Linked DNA regions of Arabidopsis thaliana. The protein of the gene in region 1 interacts with the protein of each later gene in a pairwise test. Each region holds a gene or a part of one and is shown on either strand. Other genes may lie near its edges.

What was found. Proteins that work in one complex are often made in the same cells at the same time.
Region 2: the proteins of AT1G60670 (region 1) and MEE3 interact in a two-hybrid assay, tested with the Arabidopsis thaliana proteins (one large-scale study listed by BioGRID).
Region 3: the proteins of AT1G60670 (region 1) and AT5G04760 interact in a two-hybrid assay, tested with the Arabidopsis thaliana proteins (one large-scale study listed by BioGRID).

The regions. Positions count from the first base shown.
Region 1 is NC_003070.9:22,340,329-22,350,730, reverse strand, and holds AT1G60670 (hypothetical protein (DUF3755)), read right to left. Parts: upstream 7,147-10,402; 5' UTR 6,791-7,146; intron 6,667-6,790; 5' UTR 6,633-6,666; coding exon 6,430-6,632; intron 6,097-6,429; coding exon 5,997-6,096; intron 5,133-5,996; coding exon 5,076-5,132; intron 4,914-5,075; coding exon 4,808-4,913; intron 4,475-4,807; coding exon 4,392-4,474; intron 4,192-4,391; coding exon 4,130-4,191; coding exon of another isoform or gene 4,096-4,129; intron 4,015-4,095; coding exon 3,918-4,014; coding exon of another isoform or gene 3,861-3,917; exon of another isoform or gene 3,685-3,860; intron 3,648-3,684; coding exon 3,591-3,647; 3' UTR 3,107-3,590; downstream 1-3,106. Other genes in the region: AT1G60690 (NAD(P)-linked oxidoreductase superfamily protein), read left to right, coding at 52-224, 299-401, 501-839; AT1G60680 (NAD(P)-linked oxidoreductase superfamily protein), read left to right, coding at 1,495-1,716, 1,854-2,057, 2,147-2,319, 2,397-2,499, 2,569-2,907; CB5LP (cytochrome B5-like protein), read left to right, coding at 7,777-8,142; AtRZ-1b (RNA-binding (RRM/RBD/RNP motifs) family protein with retrovirus zinc finger-like domain-containing protein), read right to left, coding at 8,583-8,826, 8,917-9,425.
Region 2 is NC_003071.7:9,255,692-9,261,197, reverse strand, and holds MEE3 (Homeodomain-like superfamily protein), read right to left. Parts: upstream 1,688-5,506; 5' UTR 1,545-1,687; coding exon 1,264-1,544; intron 804-1,263; coding exon 779-803; 3' UTR 501-778; downstream 1-500. UniProt on the Arabidopsis thaliana protein: Probable transcription factor. Required for female gametophyte development.
Region 3 is NC_003076.8:1,373,030-1,378,886, forward strand, and holds AT5G04760 (Duplicated homeodomain-like superfamily protein), read right to left. Parts: upstream 1,759-5,857; 5' UTR 1,501-1,758; coding exon 1,181-1,500; exon of another isoform or gene 1,051-1,180; coding exon 723-1,050; 3' UTR 501-722; downstream 1-500. Other genes in the region: AT5G04750 (F1F0-ATPase inhibitor protein), read left to right, coding at 25-105, 309-332.

The DNA of each region.
Region 1 (10,402 bases):
CTGGCACCTTTTGCTAAACTTAAACCATTTATTTTGATTGTCAATACCAAGATGGGAGAACTGAAGAAGCTAATTGAAGAGGGTAAAATAAAGTACATAGGTTTGTCTGAGGCCTCTGCCTCAACTATCAGAAGAGCGCATACTGTTCACCCAATCACCGCCGTGCAGTTAGAGTGGTCCTTGTGGACAAGAGACGTGGAAGAAGAAATTGTCCCAACCTGCAGGTATGCAGATTTCATCATCCTTTCATGATGCATAAATCCATCAATTATGTAACGTCTTGTCTTCCTTTCTTCAGGGAACTTGGAATTGGGATTGTTTCTTACAGTCCTCTAGGAAGAGGTTTCTTTGCATCAGGACCTAAGCTTGTTGAGAACCTAGACAATAATGACTTCAGAAAGGCAAGTGCAGAGGCTTTTTGGATGACTTGTTTGATTGATGAACCTTACATAACCTGTGGATAAATCAAATGATTTTATATATAAACTCAATTATTGCAGGCTCTACCAAGATTCCAACAGGAAAACTTGGATCACAACAAGATTCTCTATGAGAAAGTTTCTGCAATGTCTGAGAAGAAAGGGTGCACTCCCGCACAACTAGCCCTCGCTTGGGTTCACCACCAGGGAGATGATGTTTGTCCCATTCCAGGAACCACTAAGATTGAAAACCTCAACCAGAACATTAGAGCTTTATCAGTGAAACTCACTCCTGAAGAGATGTCTGAGCTTGAGACCATTGCCCAACCAGAGTCTGTGAAAGGAGAAAGATACATGGCCACAGTGCCAACCTTCAAAAACTCCGACACTCCACCATTGTCTTCTTGGAATGCTGTGTAAAACTGTCTGAGAGTTTCTCTGGCCAAAGGATGATTTATGTATAGAATATGTTATTTTCTTCTACCCATCTTATATATACGGTGACCATTCTCTGTATAGTCTTAGTGACCTATCGCCATCAGCATGAGTTAAGCGTCCCAGCTGACTTAGGTTTAGAGTTTAGGCACCTAATGGCTAATGCCAATGATGAGTCCTCCCATCATATTTGAACATTTTACCATTAGTTAGAGCCAATGATCTGGAACCTGCCTACAAGCTTCCAATGAGACAAACTATAGGTGACACAAATTGTAGATAGAAACATGAAGACCAAACACTACCTAATAAGACAAACCTTGCCTACTCAAGAAGATCGACATTACTCATTGACTCAAGACCATGAAAGAAAACAAATATCGATTACGTGAAGACTACTGAACACAAATTGATGACACATCTTTGAAGAAATATCACTTAAACACGTACGTAGTTTTTTGTTTTTGGTTAAATCTCATGTAAGAAAGATATTTTGTAAAAGCACTTTTGTAAAAGACATAGGCAATTTGAGAGTTTTTTTAATCACACCACTCATCAACCCAACTTCAACAACTACTCCACTCAGTTCTAAACTCTACAAAAGAGAGAAAGAGAGAAAGCGAGTTGTGACATAAAATCCATGGCTGAAGCTTGCAGAGTTAGGAGGATGAAGCTAGGAAGCCAAGGCCTTGAGGTATCTGCGCAAGGCCTTGGCTGCATGGCCCTCTCCGCTCGATACGGTGCTCCCAAGCCGGAAACTGACGCCATCGCTCTCCTCCACCATGCTATTAACTCCGGTGTTACTTTCTTTGACACCTCTGACATGTATGGTCCTGAAACCAACGAGTTGCTCCTCGGAAAGGTTCGAGTTTATCTTGTTTTGTTCGAAAGAGTGATCAAGATACTTTAGTTTGTTCTGTTTCTTGATTCTATGGTACTAACTTAGACCACAACAAGATTTTGTATGAGAAAGTTTGTTGCAATTCATTTTCTTGTCAGGCTCTGAAAGATGGGGTGAAGGAGAAAGTGGAGCTTGCGACCAAATTTGGATTCTTTATAGTAGAGGGGGAAATTTCTGAGGTAAGAGGAGATCCTGAGTATGTAAGGGCAGCGTGTGAGGCTAGTTTAAAGAGGCTAGATATTGCCTGCATTGATCTTTATTATCAGCATCGAATCGATACTCGTGTCCCTATCGAAATCACTGTAAGCCTCCTCCACAATCCTGCTTCATGTCATGGTTTCAATGTTTCCAAGTTGGCTCTGAAAATGATTCTTTGTCTCTGAATTCCAAGATGAGAGAACTGAAGAAGCTAGTTGAAGAGGGTAAGATAAAGTATATTGGTCTGTCAGAAGCTTCAGCTTCAACTATCAGAAGAGCACATGCTGTTCACCCGATAACTGCGGTGCAAATAGAATGGTCCTTATGGTCGAGAGACGCGGAAGAAGATATCATTCCTATCTGCAGGTGTGAAGAATCAAAATCAGATATAACTTTCCTCTTTGTTTACATGTTTGGTTAACATTTCGTTTATGCTTCACCAGGGAACTTGGGATTGGAATCGTAGCTTATAGCCCTCTAGGAAGAGGCTTCTTAGCAGCAGGACCCAAACTTGCTGAGAATCTGGAAAACGATGACTTCAGAAAGGCAACTACTGTTATTTGCATTAAAACACATGATTAATATACTGTACTAATTTGTGTTTCTTTATTGCAGACTCTACCAAGATTCCAACAAGAAAACGTAGACCACAACAAGATTCTCTTTGAGAAAGTTTCTGCAATGGCTGAGAAGAAAGGGTGCACTCCAGCACAACTAGCCTTAGCATGGGTTCATCACCAGGGAGATGATGTTTGCCCCATTCCAGGAACCACTAAGATTGAAAACCTCAACCAGAACATTAGAGCTTTGTCAGTAAAACTCACTCCTGAAGAAATATCTGAGCTCGACTCCCTTGCCAAACCAGAGTCTGTGAAAGGAGAAAGATACATGGCCTCAATGTCCACCTTCAAGAACTCCAACACTCCACCGTTGTCTTCCTGGAAAGCCACTTAAAACCGCATGAGAGTTTCTCTAGCTAAACCTACTAAAATTAATATGCTAAGGGCTTGTGTAAGCCCACAAAAATAATATGTAAGAGTTTGTGTTGATGTTCAGAGTGTTCAATGTATAATTTTCTATGCATTTCATATACTGCGACCAACCTCTAAATCTAAAACATCACCTTTTCAACCATTTAGAAAAATTTAATACATGGAAAAAGAGGAGCCATACCATATGGTAGCTGATTTGAAGATAAGATTTGAAGAATGAAAATGCCTCTGAAAACCAAACCTTACAAAGATGTGTTCTTGATACAAACTTTAAAGTAACTCTCATTTAAAACCTTACAGAAACAGCTAATCTATACAACCAACTTTTAACATGGATCTGTGCAACGAATTCATATCTTGGATTGACCGCCAAAGCATTTTGGCAACGGAAAAATAATCAGTTATGGAGACGTGAAAGGATTTGTAAAAGGGGTTTTTGGCTAGCCTGCGGTTCATTGTTAATATTAGCCGACAGCACAAAGGGTTCCACAAGATCCCATCTTCTTCAATCCTGTGTTTTGCAAGAGGTTTAGCAGTTGACAAAACCATCATCTTTCATGTGGGTCACGGTGAACAGCTGCCATTTACCAGAGGTTTCTTGTGCTAGTTCCTTTAGCATTGGTCAAAATCCAGTTTCCTCCCCCATCAGTTTCTTGGCTCCTGCTTCAGATAGATGCTCGAGGGAATGGTATAAGATCTCGGCTGAGAGACAGACAGATAAAAAATTATATTTTACCATCAAACATTGTGTTTCCATCATTCACCAGATTTAAAGCAATGTTCTTGTACAAGATCATAGTTCCCTAAAATACTAGAAGCCGATTTTTAGGGGTTATGGAAGTCCTATGATTTGAAGCGATTAGACATTTTTTCATGAAACAGAGGCAAATTTGGTAAGGGAAGCATTTGAGGTTTTTAATCCCTTACATATTCAGGAATATCCACGTTCAGAGAAAATGCAAGATTGCTTACCTGTGTGGCACTTGTCACTAAACTGCTTGCAAGATCATTGTTAATTGAGACAGGCAGAGGCGGCATCCGGCTGATGATCCCAGGCATCTCCTTCATGCTGCAGTAATAATAAGTAAAGAGTATAGTAAATCAAGCTTTCATAGACGAGAAGGTGAAGGACAACAGAGGAAATGTATCATTAGTGATTCAACCATGCTATTAGATCCACATACTCATTCAAGATGGCACTGATGTTATTTCTTGCCATATAAAACAGACTGACGTTATCCTGTGGCTGTATGCAGAAAATAGGATGTCAGGATGGGAATTCCATTACGAAAGGACAACAGCATGTATCCCAACCAAACAATAAGTTGCATTGAATAAAACATTGTGCATGTGAAAAATACATTCTACGATCTTTTTAAAGTCAATTTTCTGCTAATGCAATCTTTTTCTACCAGCTAGCATTTGGATCAGATACAAATCAATTACCTTGCACACAGAAAGGTTTGAGGAGATTTGACTGAAAGCTTGAGCATTCTGCCGTAGACGCTCCATAACCGCATCACTTAGACCTAGGAGAATAAAAGTTTGGAAAATATATATGAGACCGTAAAAATGTGACAGGTGAGAAAAAGGTATCAAGCTAACAAGATTGAGTTTTCTTGGCACAACTAAGGAGATGAGACAATAACTGAGAGAGTCCAGGAACTCTCCAACATCGATAATGCCTATATTCAGGCATGAACAAGATGAACAACAAATTGCCTAGTACATTTGATTGAGATTTCAAACAAGATGCAGTTTGTCTTTCTAAAATAATCTTTCTTTACAGTTACAACCTTTGCAGGAGAGGGAAGGAAATAATACCGACAATACTGTTACGGTGTTACCCAAATAGTACTAACCTTCAAAAGGCATGCGTGCACTCTGGCACATATGGTTCATGGCATATGTAGCATTTTGTTGTGGCTCAGTTGAGAACATGTTCAGTTTTGGGGGTAAATCCACTACCTAAATCAAGGAGAAATCAGTTACTTGTGTGTTGGGTATCTCAAGGAGAACAAATTTGTAGCTGTTTTGAACAAAAAACCATTTGTAGCCAATAACCTCTTGTAAAGCGAACTATAACCTAGGCCACCAACCGTTATCTGGTTATTTACTAACATTACATACCTTTCTATAACTAACCTTCGTGCCAGTACTATGTTCTTCCCCTTTTCTTCGCTTTTGCTGAAAAAAAGGATTTCAATCTTAGCCCAGACAAACTCAAAAGTCATGAATTTAAATAGTTGAAAGATATTAGATAGCAAACTGGCAGTTATTATTAATGTTAAAAAGGCCCCGTGTCAAGACTTATGTTTGTATGAGTCATATATCTGCTTGTACAACTCAAGTCATAAAAAATCTATCTATTTCTTCAGCCCAACTTCATAAAAAAAATATGACAGGATAGATAGTATGGATAAGCCAATAAGGTAATATTTGGCACTATAATCTGTCAACTTTTTTCCCCCATTTATTATATGAATCTTAACACTACAGTGTAGGCCATACTGCAGAGGATATAACCAATGTTTAACCATCGCTCATAGAAATCTTATCCTTCATAAAAAGTAACATATCAAAATAAACTTCAGAAAGTCGAAAAAAGCCCAAGGCTATCTGACATCACTCGTTTGGCGATATTAGTTTCAGGGTAACTACAGAAATCAAATCAAGCTTTAGGGTCAAATCAAGTTCCAACATGACTCCAGAGCTAACAGAAAGCCAGATCTATCGTCAGCAATACTTGTTATTACTCTCCTTGCACACTCTTAACCATACTTTAAACAACCTTTATGATATGGTAAGGTGTCTTTTCATCAATATAGCAATAGAACTTTAAGCCTACCTTATAGCCAAAAAAATATAAAAGAACTTTTCCCATAGGACTTTATCTTTAACAAAGCATACACCCAAAGTAGCGTCACTATGTTTTTCCTCCTTTTTTCATCTCCCAAGCTAAATGACGTTACCAAGATCTCTTTGAATAACAACTAATAAGAAGTCTGCAAGCCACTTATGAAACTTAATGACAATGCATTGGGAACTTACCGTCATCCATTTACATCTCATTGCTACATCCCGTACACTTTTATCTGGTAGAGTTGCTGCGATCTTTACATACTTTGTAACTTGTGGTTCATCTTTAAATCTACAAAAGACATGACAAAGGTTTTAGGCAAACAAAACAATAAAAGACAAACTCGAAACAACATAAAACAGCGCAAGGTAAGAAACTAACACAGAGAAAAACTCAGCCATCTTTCGTAGAAATTTTCTGATACAAAATACATCTATAAGAATCTGAATCAGCTTATGATTCCAGATAACAACACGAGCTATAACAGTTCATATGAAACATAAATGCAAAACCTTTTCCTTCATCTACATATAAAAATTTATCTACTCTAACATTGTATAATAGCTACGAAGTGAGAAAATTTGCAGAGAACGAAGAACAATGGAGAATAACAAAAATACTTACTTTGAAAGACCTTTCTCCAATATATATTGTTCCTCAACAGACCAATCAACAGCCAAAGAAGCTTCATGTTTGAGTCCAGTAACCGAAGTCGGAGAATTTACAGTAAGATGAAATCCAGAAGAAGCATTCATGCTCGAAGTCGCCGAAAACACTAAACCGGTCGTGCTAGTACTCGGTACGCAATAATTATCCATCGGAATCATCACTCAAAAGCTATTTCGTAGAGATTAAGTTGACCTACAACGAAGCACGCCCAAAAACATGTTCAATTTAGGGTTTTAGCAATTTCAGAATCATACGGAAAAAAATCCGATTAAAACCCAACAGAAACCTAAAAGAGCAAAACCTGAGCAAAACCCACCTCGGATTTAGCCAAAATAGAAGATGAGTATGCTTCTCCGTAGCTCGATAGATGGCGTCGATGCAAAAACCCTAAACCCCCAACGATTGGTGATGAAAGTAGAGATACTGAAATCGTGAAGCTACAAAATTCAGAGAGATCGCAATAGAGAAGAAGAAGATTGAAGAATCGTGATTCGATTCGCGAGAGAGTGGTGACAGCAAGATGATGCGAAGAACTTTCGAATTGCAGAAGCTGGCGAGGAGAGAGAGAGAGAAAATGGTGGTTTTGTTTTGTAATGGTTTTTATTCTATTAAGAAACAGAACCACTTTTTATTCCATTGTGGTGGTTTTGCTTTTTTGTTTTTGTCTAGTCCACTCTTTGAAGAAAGATGGTTTGTTCCTCCTTATTTTTTTAAACTTTTACTCAATTTTTGTGAATTACACAGTCACCTACACTTTGGAAATTCAGATATTTAAATTACAACAAGGTATTATAAATCATAAAGTTTGGTATCCATTTCACTAAGTGACATTTGTTTTTTTTGTTTTTTTTTACATGTCTTATGTGAGTTATGAATAATTAAATTTGTTTCAAACTTTTACATGTGTAATTTTATGATAAATCTTTTATTTACTTATATACCTAAATAATCAAGTTGAATTTGTGCATAGACAAAAATGAGACATCAAATTAGTTAATCGATAATAGTAGGATTCGCCGGGGAGAAGGAGAAAAAAAATTAGATGCATGGGTCTCAGGTTCGAGTAATAACCAAAATAACTACAACTTCATTTTTGCATAGACGTGGAGATGCTTTTTGGTTAGAAACCTCGACAACCACTAACGAAGATGAGGACAATGAAAACGTTGTGTTTTGACTTTTATGCCCCTCTAAACCCTAAATTCAATAATTTGGGTCGTCACTCGTCAGCAAGCTGGATCTAATCCACCACTCTCTCCAATTGTCATTCACTCCGGTTTTGCTATTTCCAAGGAGAGAAAGATGATAGCTGTGATCGGATTGCTTCTGGGTTTTCTAGTATCAGCATTGTTCTTAATCCAAGGAAAGCGAAGAAGAACAAACGACAATCAAGAGAAGAAGAGATCTAGCAGTGAGCCTGTAGAAGATGTGGTAAGACCAAAAAGTTACAGCAAGAGTGAAGTCGCAGTACATAACAAAAGGAACGATTGTTGGATCATAATCAAAGATAAAGTCTATGATATTACTTCTTATGTTGAAGAACATCCTGGTGGTGACGCTATTCTTGATCATGCTGGTGATGATTCTACTGATGGCTTCTTCGGACCTCAACACGCCACTCGTGTTTTCGACATGATTGAAGATTTCTACATCGGGGAACTTCATTAGTAAAAGCTTAAAGATTTGAGATTTGATTGAAGATTTGAGATTTCTTCTTAAGTAAGCTTAAAGATGGCTTTTTTAATTCTCTTCTCATTGAAGATTTGAGATTGCATTACCTTTTTGTCTTGCTAGTGTAACACTTCTTCTTCCATTGTATTGCCAAAGTTTCCTCCTTTCTCTTAATTTTCATGGTGAAGCTATGCTCTGTTTCAAGTGTTCTATGCTTAACTCTGTCTCAAGTGTTTTAAATCCATCAATTTTGAGTTTAATCTATTGAATTGCTTTATGGGAATCAATAGGATCATAAGAACATAACTTTTTTACTGCGATGAAGAATCATAATATTCGACAAAAAAGCATAACAGAGATCTCGAGTTCGAGTTCTATCTCTGATATAGACCTAAATCCCAAAGCATAAGCATTGACATCTGGTTAACCAAAACAAACTACCAACGTTCATATGATGAAGGTCTGCCTCCAGGACGGCTAGGACGGTCATAAGGACCTGGTCTGCTTCTGTAGGGTCTTCCCTCATCGCGTATCGGTCCCATATCTCCATATCTGTCACTTGTATCCCTTGCGTATCTGTCCCTGTCATAGCTTCTCTCTCTCCCGCGATATTCATTCTCAAGATGATGTTCAGGCATCCCATACCTATCACTCACAAAACGGTCTCCTGGTGGTGCGTATCTACATTGTTAATACATCAAAAGGTCATGACTTTCCTAAAAGAACACATGTTGGAACATTTATTTAGACCTGAGGACAAGAGCTACAAACCTCTCAAATGGATAGTGATCACGAGGCTCATACTTGTCTCCACTGTCGAAGCGGTCCCTGTAGCTATATCGTCCCCCATCTCGGTCACGGCGTCCATCCATGTAGCGGTCAAACTCACGCTCCCGCTCCCGCTCCCTCTCCAGATCACGATCTCCATAGCGATCTCGGTGTCCATCTATGTCTCCAATACGAGAGCGCATCGCAAGGGGAACTCTGAACCGTTCTCGATCGTCACCAGTTGATGGGCAATCTCGAGCCCAATGACCAGGGCGTCTGCATTTAAAGCACTCATCCTCGGTTCCCTTCCCTCGAGATGAATAGCCTCCACCTTTCTTTAATTGGTCTACATCTTCTCCACCAACTTTGGGCTCAGCTTTGTTCACGGAGATGACCTTATTGCCCAACTCCCTTCCATGCATGTGCTTAATTGCATCATCAGCTCCTCTGCGATCAGTGAATGTAATAAACCCAAAACCACGTGGACGCCCAGTATCTCTCCCCACCATAATCTACAAGTACGCAAAGAAGACCAATAATGTTATTAAAATGCATATTGAGCCAGGAACAAGATATATTACTAAGAACCAGATGTTACATTAGAGTTAAGAAATAAGCAGATGTATTACATTCCTATCTCTCATATAGCATGTCCTAGAAGTGGCAAACTCAGAACATTTACAAGCAAACAGAAGACGGTAGCAAGATTCACAAATTTACTTCATTTCAAGTCCTTAGAATCACACAACACAAAGTCAAACTACAGCTGCATACTTGTAGAAATACTAATCCACAAGAAGTATCACCACAACAATAATCCTAGCAAAACGATGTTGGAGATTAGCCTCTAGCCAACCATACTTTTAACCCTTACAACAGACCTGTTACCTCAAATCAGTTTCCCACAACAAATCCACAGGAATGCGTTTTCCATGCTAATTCCACTAAAAAAGAAGACTAATATTCTGATCAAGACCTAAAAAAGAAGACTAATATTCTGATCAAGACCATTTTTGACCAGAAACTTATCATCTTGGTGTATTGATAGACTACTTAGAGATGCTTACATGTGCCAATAACTGTACTTTTACAATTACAACAACTAGTGGCTCATGATGAATGAGTACAAGAAAACCATCTCAGTGACTACTAAAGCAGATACCACAGGCAAGAGAATAAAAGATGGTTAGTCCTGATTGGTGTCAAAACCACTGAAAAGAGAGCTCAGCTGCAATTTAATCATAATATCCAACAAAACACAGTGACGTCAAACCAAAATTACTGCACTGATGCTGAGACAAGAGCCATGATCTATCTCAAAACTCTTGCATTTCTAAACATACGGCTCTCAAACAGATTTTCAGATCAAGAGGAGGTTGAGATGCATGTTTACTTCCTAAGAAAGCTCTACTAATTCCTCGACTGCATCCTTCAACAAGTCAATAAACCTCAATATCTGTGTGTGCTCTTCTACAGAATAGATGAGTCT
Region 2 (5,506 bases), on another chromosome or scaffold:
ATATGTGTGTATAATTAGTTAATTGCACGTGACCTATTTTTGGAAGCATCAGATTTCCCGCCCAATTTTAATTATCTACCCAGAAAATAAAAAAAATTGAAATTTGGGGTTTATCTATGAAATTCCCAAATTGAAACTCTCATCGATTTCGCTGGAATTTGAAGATTGCGATCAGAAATTGCAGATTTTTCGAGGTGAGTTCTTCTCGTCCCGTGACATTGTTAGATTCTCCATAAACAGTGATTCACCAATTATCAACACTTGAGTTTAAATATTGAAACAATTCCCCAATTTCGAAGAACCCTAAAAATAGAGATTGGTTAATTGATTCGTTGATTTCGAGACTTCTTCTTGTCCGATTCGCATACTTTGCATTATTGGATGCTCCAATATATAGTTAAGATCAATATTTAATTGATTTATGAATTTGGATTTTTCCATTTTGAAGCAACATTGATTCAGATTGGTTGAGAGATTGATTCGTTGATTTCAAGGTCCGTGAACGAATTACTCGTTTTAAGCATAATTGTAATATATAATTAACATTTAGACATTGGATTTTTCATTACGAAGAACCCTAAATACAGATTTTGGTTAACAAATTCGAGTGTTATTTTTTTTTTGTTGCCTCGAAAAAAAAACCATTTCTTAGGGAAAAACATGAGAAATTGCAAGAAAAAAACATTGATTCGTCAGACATTGAAAAAAACACATCTCTCTGAAGTGATTCTCTTTTATTTTGACGATCATACGTAGTTAGGTTTTGTTGCTTCTTGTCTCACTGCAGCTTCATGCTTCTCATCCTGCAATAAAAAAAAAAAATGTTAAACAGGTTAAAATGTTGTTGGTTCGAGTTTCATGATGATGAGTGGGTTTATTTTTGTTTCTGGAAGTTTCTTAGGGGAAAGATTTGGGAATCGATTAATATTAGATACCATATTGACAAGGAATGATTCTATTTCTAGGCATATTTTTTGTTGTGGGAGCTTTTAGTTTTGGTTCTGATAAAGCCTGAAGAACACTGAGAAGAGAACACTTGGCTGATTTAGAGCCTCTTATAACTCAATATGATAGAAAGTCAAGAGAATCTCTGTAAAGTAACAAGCTTTATGCTGAAACAGACATGCCCTTTATGTTTTCTTGTCATGGTATTGGAATAGAACTTGTCTATAGAAGTATCTTATAGTGGGCTATTATGGATAAACAAAGTTGATTACTTGTTATTAGCATAAATTGTGTCTTATTAGATTGCAACAAATATACCTCTTTTCCTCATCACGCAGCCTGCCTCTGTTGCTGTTTCCTGTAGTAGTCTTGTAGTCAGGGAATGGCACGTGACCATTCTCGATGCTTTCGATGTCACGAACTAGAAGGTCATACTGTCTCTTAGCTTCTTCTGGTGTTTTACCACCAACAGCTCTAGCAACATTGTGCCAACGGTCCGGAGTGTCTTGGTCATAGACTGCTAGAGCACGCTCAAAGGCTTTGTTCTGCTTAACAGTCCATGAGCCAGAGCCATAAGAAGACATTGAGCCTGATGCCATTGTTTAGTAACTAAAGTTGATGATGTTTGGTTTTGTGTAGTAATAAACCTAGAAAAGAAAGAGATTCTGAGGAAATGATATGTTGCACAGATGTCGCAGAGTCCTTGCTCTTTATAAAGAGGTTTTGGTGTGGGGTAGGGCCAGTTGTTAAAAGATATCTTTGCCAAAACAAAGAGAATTTTAAGTCTTTGTCTCTATAGCTAGAAAAGAATATGAGCAAATTTTTTTGTGGAGATCAGTATCAAAGATCCAAACTAATCAACCAAAGATTGCGTTTTTCCATCCATATTTGGCATATGATGCTCCCTAGACACACTTTTCTATAAATGTTATAACTAATATGTTTACTTTTCTTTCCCAATTAGTGGTTATGACGTCATTCTCTAGATTAAGCTTCTTGTCAAAAAGAAACAGTTTAGGTAATAAATAGTTAGGAAAATCTCTCTACCTATGGTACTTAATTCATGGAACAGTCTGGTCTCTAATCAGAGCACAAAGCTCACGTGCTCGCGGAAAATTACAAGTCTTTGGTTGAAAGTTAGGGACAAGTCTCTATTGACAGATGATTTTCATTGACTAATCAGATTTCCTTCTTATCAAAAATCTCAGTGATTTTGAAACATTGTGAGGATTAATTTGTATCCACAAACACAAAGTTGGAGCTTTTCGTGTGTTCACCATAAGTCATATATTCTCTTGTATAAGAAGAATTCTTAAAGAAAAGTGGGGGCAGAGCTTTACCTTGAGATTCTCTGCCATGAAAACCATATCAATTTATCTAGCTGTATTGATGATCTTTCCGTACAATCATCGACATTTTTCTGTGTTTTCTTGTTGTTGAAAAAAATAAACGTCAACATTGTTTACCTACCTTTTTTTTTCCTTGGCTTGTTGGGTCCATCTCCTTGAAGTTAGGCAACTGTGTTTTTCTTGGTCATATATTGTCTAATGTAGATTCTTGGTTGTTAATTTGTTAAATAATCACTTTTCTTGGTGGATATTCAAATTGTTTCTTCTGTTCTTTAGTGTCTGCATTATTGAATATGGGCGGGAACCAAAAGTTGTCGTATTACAAAATACAAACATTAATGTTTCACATGAACACTTTAATTACCTTGTTTGGTAAGAATCCAGGGTTGGGATGGGCAAATAGATTATTGTCATATAACTAAATTAGGTTGCTAAATAATGCACAATAGGACTAATAATATACATACTTGGCAAAAAGACAACATGCATAAATGGTCCACTTGTTGTTTGGTTTTATCTCAGAAAGTGAGCATTTTGTTTCATTCTTTAAAAGATTTGAAGATTTTCTTTTCATGCAACAAAGGTTGTTCATTAATGATCCACTTGTTGTTTGATTTTTAGTTCATAATAAAGTTGACATTTTGATTTAAAGTCTCAAGATTTTCCCTCTCTCGGAAACACAGGTGATTCAAAGTCCCATGGGAGATGGAGGACCATACTCATATCTTATCACTATTGAATCAGGTTTGTTATCAAAAGACCACAAGACTATATAAAGTTATTGTCTACACACTTTTTAAAGTAAAGCTATTTAAGAACCATACTTCTCGGATCTTTCTTGATAATAGTGTTTATCCATTTCACTAAATGTTATTAGTTTTGCTAAGTAAGATGATATTCCTTTACGTGTATAGGTCTTATGATACTTTAATTTGCTCTCTTTCTGGATATATGCCAATATAAGCACTTATATTATTAAGATATTTTTATTCTAGTTATGATAATGGATGGTTCTGTTTCTAAGATGTCATGGTTTGGTTTCAGGGTAGGGGCGGCGAAACTTCTTATCGAGAAGGAAAACTTTAAACAGAGAAAGAATCTTAACAATAATGAGGCCTTGGGGCACAATATATTCCAGAGAGATAATAGATTGCAAGTTGCCAAGAAATTCTGCTAGTAGGCATTGGGGCACTACTGATATTCTCATCGTCACGATGCTTCACAGCGACCTTCTTTGCCTAGGTATTGAAATGGTAAAAAAGGAACACTTTCCCCACATTTAAGTCATAAGTTTAGGTAAATTCTTTAGCTGTGAAAACGATAATCTTGAGTTCATAAGGTCGATTATTTTGTTGTTGAGCAAGATGGTTATTTTTACTTTCTCACTATGAATAGTTGCATCAGTAAACGCTTGAGGGTTTTATTCTGATATCTCCAGGTCTTGAGTGATCATTGCTGAGAATTTACCCGGAGTAGCTTACAAGGAATCTGTATGAAAAGGAAGGTAAAAGAGTAAGCATTTTAATTTGTTACAAAATTACTGTTGATATTTGGAACCCTTATCCCCAAATCTAGCAAGAAACAAAAACTAAGTATTCTGATTCCTCTCCTAGTGGTTGCTCTCCTTTTGCAACTTGGAAAAGAACCCGAACCTGAAGTAATCACTCTATAATGGAAGTTTCTGTAGCTCAAAATGTTTTCGAAGGATTTTCGAGGATAGTGGTGAGATATTATTATCAACAAAAGAATGATCCCTTTACAAAATTGGATTCGGACAAACTTTACGCAAAAGAAGGAAATGGCATATTATCACCAGGAATCCATAAGAGCTAGTCCCATTTGAGGGAAAAAAGTATCCACAGACACAAGCCTGGTCCAAAATCAGCCATAGTAGCAGCCTATAACAGTAGAGTTCTTTTTATTTTCTTGTTTCTCGGAATCTTTGAATAAAGAACTTAGGAAATGGAGAATCTCCATGCTCAGGGGTTTTTATTGGTTGATGAGAGAATATATAAGGAAAAAGATCTTAATCATTTTCTTTTAAGAATTGATCTTAATCTTCTTCTCATCTGACATTGTTACCATAGAACTGTTGTTTTTGTTCTTTTTTTTAAGAGTGATTTTATCAGTAAACTGCCACTGCTTTTGTTGATTTTTGTCTAACATTTGTAGCAATCCAATACATAAAACTGTTTTCTGGAATAAGTATGTTGTTGTTCAACTAGCTCATAATAGCTTGTTCTCTAAAAAGATTGTTTATTTTGGTTCTGTTTTACACCACTTCTGATTGTTTTTGATACTCCTGAGTTGTGTCTGGCTGTTACTAAACAAGATAACTCATTACAATAAGATCTAAGTTGTGGTTGAAAATGAAAATTAGGAAAACAGAGGAAGTGAAGTAACTATGTGTATAAGTAGTTAACTATTTGGGAATATAACAATCATGTGGATGTAAAGTTAATTACATTAGGAAACATAGATGACTCTATATGTAAAAATTTAGTACTTGTCAATGTTTAAGTTAACAACATATGGATATAATCAACTATGTAAACGTATACTTAACTTTACATCCACATAATGTGGTAAATTCTTAAGGGAGGAAGAGTCATGCCATAGTCCGTCTTCCGAGTGAGGATCATAAATGATAGACTCCCATGGAGTCATATTTCTCTTATGTTTGATCCTTCGTAAAGTGTAATTTTTGAATCGTCTTTATCTTTTTTTTTTTTTTTTTTTTTTTGTTTGCTTAGAAAGCTATTGCATCGATTTATGTTAAAACTTAATTAACAGAGATTGGTAATTGTCTTTTTGTTAATTTGTTTCTTTATTCAATTGTAGATTTTAAATTTAGAGAATGAACAAATATCCTTTTCTTTTTGGGCAAAAAGAATGAACAAATATCTATGATTCAATAACACACCTTTAGACTAAAGAAGAATTATTCTTGAGGGACAAGTTAAAAATAGTATGTTTTAAGGGGGAAAAATTTATGACAACAATTGTATGTACATTCTTCTTGAGGGACAAGTAAATCTATAATTTTATCAAAAAAATAATTCACAGAAGGTTAATCGTTTCACAAACACAGCACTATAACATTGAAACTAAGATATATTTCTTTCCTCAAGGATCATTTTTTTTATTAATTTCAGTCCAACGGAGTTTCAAGCCAAACCCACAAAAAAAATCAGTAACTTTATTTAAGTTTG
Region 3 (5,857 bases), on another chromosome or scaffold:
AAGAAACCGATCTTTTTGTTGTAGAAAATGGAGAGGGAGAGACTGGAGAAGAAGAAGAAACTCGAGCAAGATAAGCTAGATGGTGAGAAAGGAAGTGCCAACAAGGTAAACTTTCATCATACCATCAACTTCCATTGGTCTCTTTTCATTCAAGTGTTCAGTTTTACGTACGAAATGCCCTGTGGTCAGAAGAAGCGCATTTCTGAACCTGAATTTGGCTTTAATGTCACAGCAAATGATGATCTAACTTAACATAGCAAAGAAATGAACTTGCTCGTTGACTGTTTGCTTTTCACTCTCTTGTGCAGAAACCTGAGACAAACAAGCCATGAGTTTATCACTCACAGTATACAGAATCCGGTCATAAGGCAAGCAGTAGTGAAAAACAATAATGCCTTTGACCTATGTTCTCTCTTGGTATGAGAGATCTTGTACTTGTACAGAGATCTTTAACCTTCTGATGTGTGTGTTTGTGTGTTGTAAGAAATCAAGTTTAAAATAATCGAGAAAAACAACCATATGCATTGATTCAAAATACCAAAATGGTTACCAAACATATTTGTGTTTACAAAAAGCTTCCCTATACATTATTTTTATTCTTTGATCATCATCATCATCATCTGTATAAGAAAATACCCAATCCTATTTCTTTCCCTATTCACATAAAATGAGTAAAACCCTATTAAACTAAAGCCATCCCAATTTGTCTCCCCCTTTCTTCATCACATCCGAAACCCAAAATCCTCGAAATGACCAGGATTCAATTGCTGACCGAACTCAGACATAATCTGTTGCTGCTGCGGCGCCTGAACAGGACTCCCGTGTTGGCCAGTCCAGTCCATGTTAGACCCAGGCATAGCCAAAGTAGCATCAACCGTAGTTATATCATGGATGCTCGACCTTTTCCTCTCCTTCTTCACCGAGTTCTGTCTCAGAAAATACTTCTGAGCGTGACTCGCGACTTGCGTCGGTGTCCTCGTCACCACAACGTTTCTCGAGATACTCCTCCAATCTCCCTTACCATATCTCTTTAATCCGATCAGAAACAATCTGCATCAATAAAATTCATATCAAACAATGTAATTAAATCACCTAAATTTAGCAAAATTGCATTTAATTCCTAAATTCTCAAACCAACCAAAACCCTAATTTTTTTGAAATGATTGATAAAGAAACATACTTGTGTTCGTTCTCTGTCCAAGGAGTTCCTCTTTTGCGTTCACTCTCGCCATGTTTAGACCCAAAAGAGATCTGACCAGCGGAATCCCAACCCGCCGCCGCAGCCGCCGAGTCATCCATGTAATCAGGGACATCAACTCGACCAGAATCAATCTCGAAAACATCATGAACCAAGACCTCGTAATGCTCCCTAACTTCACCAGCAGATTTATGAAGCTGATCAGCGATTCTCTCCCACCGATTAGGAGATCCTTCAGGAAAAAGAACCAAAGCTTGCTCAAACATCTTATCCTCCGACCTCGTCCACTGACTTGACGCCATAATCGTTGATGATTACTCAAGTAGAGAAGAAGAAAACAAAAACAAAAATCTGAAATTTGTTGGATATTGGAAGAAACTGTTAGGATAATTTATACGGATTCTTCTGGTTTTTATTCTTGGGAAAGTTTTTTGTAAATAAGAAAATAAAGAGCTGGAAAAATAAAAATAAAAAAGGGAAGGAAGAAGCAGCTCAGAGACCAACTTCAACACGGTTTCTCTGCAATTGGGATGTCTTTTGTCTCTCTCTTTCTCTCAGTTTTATTTTCAATTTTAATTTTAGGGTTAACACCTGACCTGACTTACTGATTTTTTGCTACCAGTTTGTTACAGTTTCTCCCTTTTTATCTTTAAAAATTTTTATTTAAAAGGAAATGCCACTTTGTTTTTCCAATAAAATGGGAACACGTAGCTATTTAAAAAAAAAAAAAAAAACCAACCGCCTAAAAATACGAAAAAGCAATCTAGAAAGACTTGTTTTATTTAGGTTTCACATTCTCGAATCAATCACAGCACTGCACTGTCTACGTCTTCCTTGTCACTATTTTTGTCCAATCCTCTCTCAACTTCACTTTCGTAATTATGGTTATCTGTGATTTTCCATCTGTTTATGATTTTTTCATTTTACTAACCTTATAATTCTTGTTATGTTTTCGGATTTTTTTTTGGGCCAAGGACGATTCTCATGATGAACAAATATTTTTTTTTATAGTGATGGTCCAACATTTGACGTGTTAATTAAATTATGTACCGCAAAGTTTGACTAATTTTTGACAGTTGGGTCATTAATGTTAGTCAAAAAATCCAATCCTCAACTGTTTTAAGTGTATTGACCAGTAAAAGCTCCAAACACACACTACAATCAATCATATTCTATTCATAGCACTTCCATCAGTTCATGCCTTGGTGAGTGTTACATTATTACTTGTTGAAACACATAATGTTAGATTGTCAGCGTAAACGTGGGAAGTGGAAAACATGAGTATATTTGATTTCGAACGTGTTATAAAATAGTTCGATTTATACTTTTTATTAAATACTCCTGTAGAGAAAGATAACACCGAAATTTGTCTTATCTTATCGGAAGAGTTTCATTGTATTTATTAAACTATGTTCTCAACGACCTTCAACAAAAGAAAACAAAGCAACTTCAACTAATTTTTTTAGTATTTTTTTAGCCGTACTTGTTTCTTTCTTCACACGTAGTTTACTTTACTTGTTTTTAAAAATGGTTTACACACTTTTTACTAAATTAATTGGATTGCAAATATGAAGTGGATACGTTACGAAGTCGACCAAGACGCCAAGACCGACTCTTCACCAGTATTGAGCCACGTGTCTTCTGCCAATTGTTTTGCGAGGATACTTTTTGGCATCGGACTGGTGCATCTACATGACGTGGCCTCTTGTTTAATCGTCACCTGGCTTTCCAATTTCCAAATAAAATCTACTAAGCTCTTGCTATTTTAAGCTTTTTATCTGCTACCATATGTTTCAAGTTTTGATATTATCTTCAAAAATATGGGAAAATAAATACAGAAAAATCAAAAAAAATAACTGTGAGTATGAAAAATATGGGGCGATTATTGGATGATAAAAAGAAGGTATGAAATTTCTGAATTGAAAAAAATACATAGAAAGGAAATTAGAAGAGGGGATAAATTGGTGAGGTAAATTTTGAATCAAACATTAAATTAACAAAAATGTAGTAAAATAGGGGGAAAAAAAAGTTTTTTTTTTTTTTTTGGAAATGTGTATGGGCTAGTAGCCCAAAAACAAGGAAAACACAAACTATTGGACTGGACTGATCAAAATAGTTAATGAGCGGTTTTGGTTTATGTAAAAAAGAGAATGGGCCTTTTAGATAGACTCTTTAAATAGAATTTGACAATCTCTTAAGTTATCTATTTATGGATAAATAAGTGATCCAACTTTAACTAGGTGAATTTGACAATCTTAAACTAGTAGGGAGTCTCACTCATGAACATTTTACATATTTATTTTTAAAATACTACACTTTCTTGAATACACAGCTTTTTTTTTGGGTGATATAATAAGGTATCTTCAAAAATTTATATATGAAATCAGATCCTAATATCTTGCTTTTACTGAAACCAAAAATTGTGTTTACAAAACGGCTCACATATCGGATTGGCACTCAAAAGTCAAATCACATATTTTGCCACGGATTTTATATAACTTCAAATATATGGAGAATGGAATTTTTGTATTTTTCAATTAGAAAAAAATACTATAGGGAAAACAGAGATGGGCAGGTCTGGCACAGGGCGTGTGAGACGTGGTCGGATTGAGGCAACCTGAATTTTGCATCTTATCTAAAATTCAGATTTGACCATCCCACTCACTGTATAAACCACTCCACATTATCTTTTTTATTTATTTCATTATTACTCTTTTGTGTACCCAAAAATGTGAGACTTATTGGTGACCATACAAGTCATAATTTATTCTTGTCGAAATTAATTTATATATAAATGTATGCGTATGTGTGTTGTAGATACGAATATGTGTCAACGTTGCTGACACTAATCTAATTATCATTATTGTGAACAAAGAGAGGCTTAAGAGTGTTCGATTGAAGTAGATATTTAATACTATTTGTTTGGATAAGGTAGTGTTAATTCAATGCAGTGCGCGGCCAACCAAAAAATAAAAAGATCAATTGCAACGTGTATCCAGTTACGGGTATGATTGGGAGCGATAGAACTTTTACATAAACATACACAAATCATTCTACAACACTTTTTAATCAAGTTTCATAGATGGTTAGATGAGTTCTATTCGAATTAACCTTATAGTGAGTTTTGGTGTGGTAAAAATAGTGTTGATTTTGGATTACATATACACATGCGGTTAGTTGGTGGTGTTGGTGATTTTGGATTTTGGATTTCAGTGAACAGCATCAAAGGCTCCGAGTTCGACCCATGAAAATAAAATCAGTCAATCCATTGCTTCTTCTTCATCTTAAAGCGTCGAGTCTAATGCCGATTTCTCTATGGAGAATACTCATCAGGATCATGATACAACCTGCAAACATGTTGCGTTGCCCTTATCACAGAGAACAGATCACTCATCTTTTTTTTCAAGAACTCACTCATGCATATTACCACTCACACATACTATCAAATAACACGGCACTAACACTAAAACAAATTACTAAGTTACAAACTGTACCAACACAAGATTTGCGGTTATTTATTCCTCTAAGTACCAAACTATTCGTGTCCTCGTTTTAAAACATTTAAATGCAGAGACAAAATCAGTTGAAGAAGACCTTAATTAGCTGCAAATATGCGATAATATTTTCCTAGTAATGCCAAGTTGCCAACTATAAAAAATGAGAAGATTGTCGAAAAGAACCAACTAATTACAAAAACTCATTTCCTCAAATTCTGGTCACGCTTCGCTTTAAACCTGTGTGCTTATCCATTGAAAACAAAACAACATCCCACGTGTCACCTTCTTTGCCACACGTGTGAATCTTAAACCACACATAGCCGTTAGAGGTAACGTCGTTACCGTGTCTTATGATATACGGAAGTTAACGCCGTTTGTTTAGTTTTTTCTTTTTAACGTCCGTGACGGTTTCATAACCTCGGGAACTAAGTAAGGAAGAGCTTTTGAAGCAGAGAGTCGTTACGTTTCAAACAACCGATCATAGTCATAGACACAATTATGGTATTAATTTCATTAATTAGTACTAATTCCCTATCAATTACAAGGAACGCAATTACAAAATTTTGTCTATAATAACATCAATTTTAGACCCTCATTTCAAGGAAAAATGTGGGAATGATTCTCCAATGACATATTTATGATTAAAAAGTTCATTTCTCAGGTTCGAAATATTTTGACCATTTTGAAATATACTAATAATGTTGTTTAAAAACATATCTTATTAGAATGTTTATATGGTGTTATAGTGTTGAGATATTTTTTTTAAATATAAATAATTGAGTACAAATCTATAAATTTAAACAATAAAGAGTGTTATTAACAATTAATGATAAGTAGTAAAAAAAAAAGAATATTCTTCAATAAAAACCGTAATTCATTTTTTTCCTATTTTTTAAAAAACAAAACAAAATAAGATAACCATAGGAAATGCCACTCTGTTACAACTCAGCAGTCTAATGATATTTAATAAAATACCAATTTTAGTGGTTTATGGTCAACAAAAATAGTTTACAAGCTTAGCTAGATGTGAATACATACTATATACTACCAAACTAGTTTATGATTTGTATATGAATCAATAAAAGCGTTAGCATAATTAGTATATATAAATGTAACTGTAATTGGACCAAAGAGATAAAGCATCTTGGGTTTAGTAAGCTTT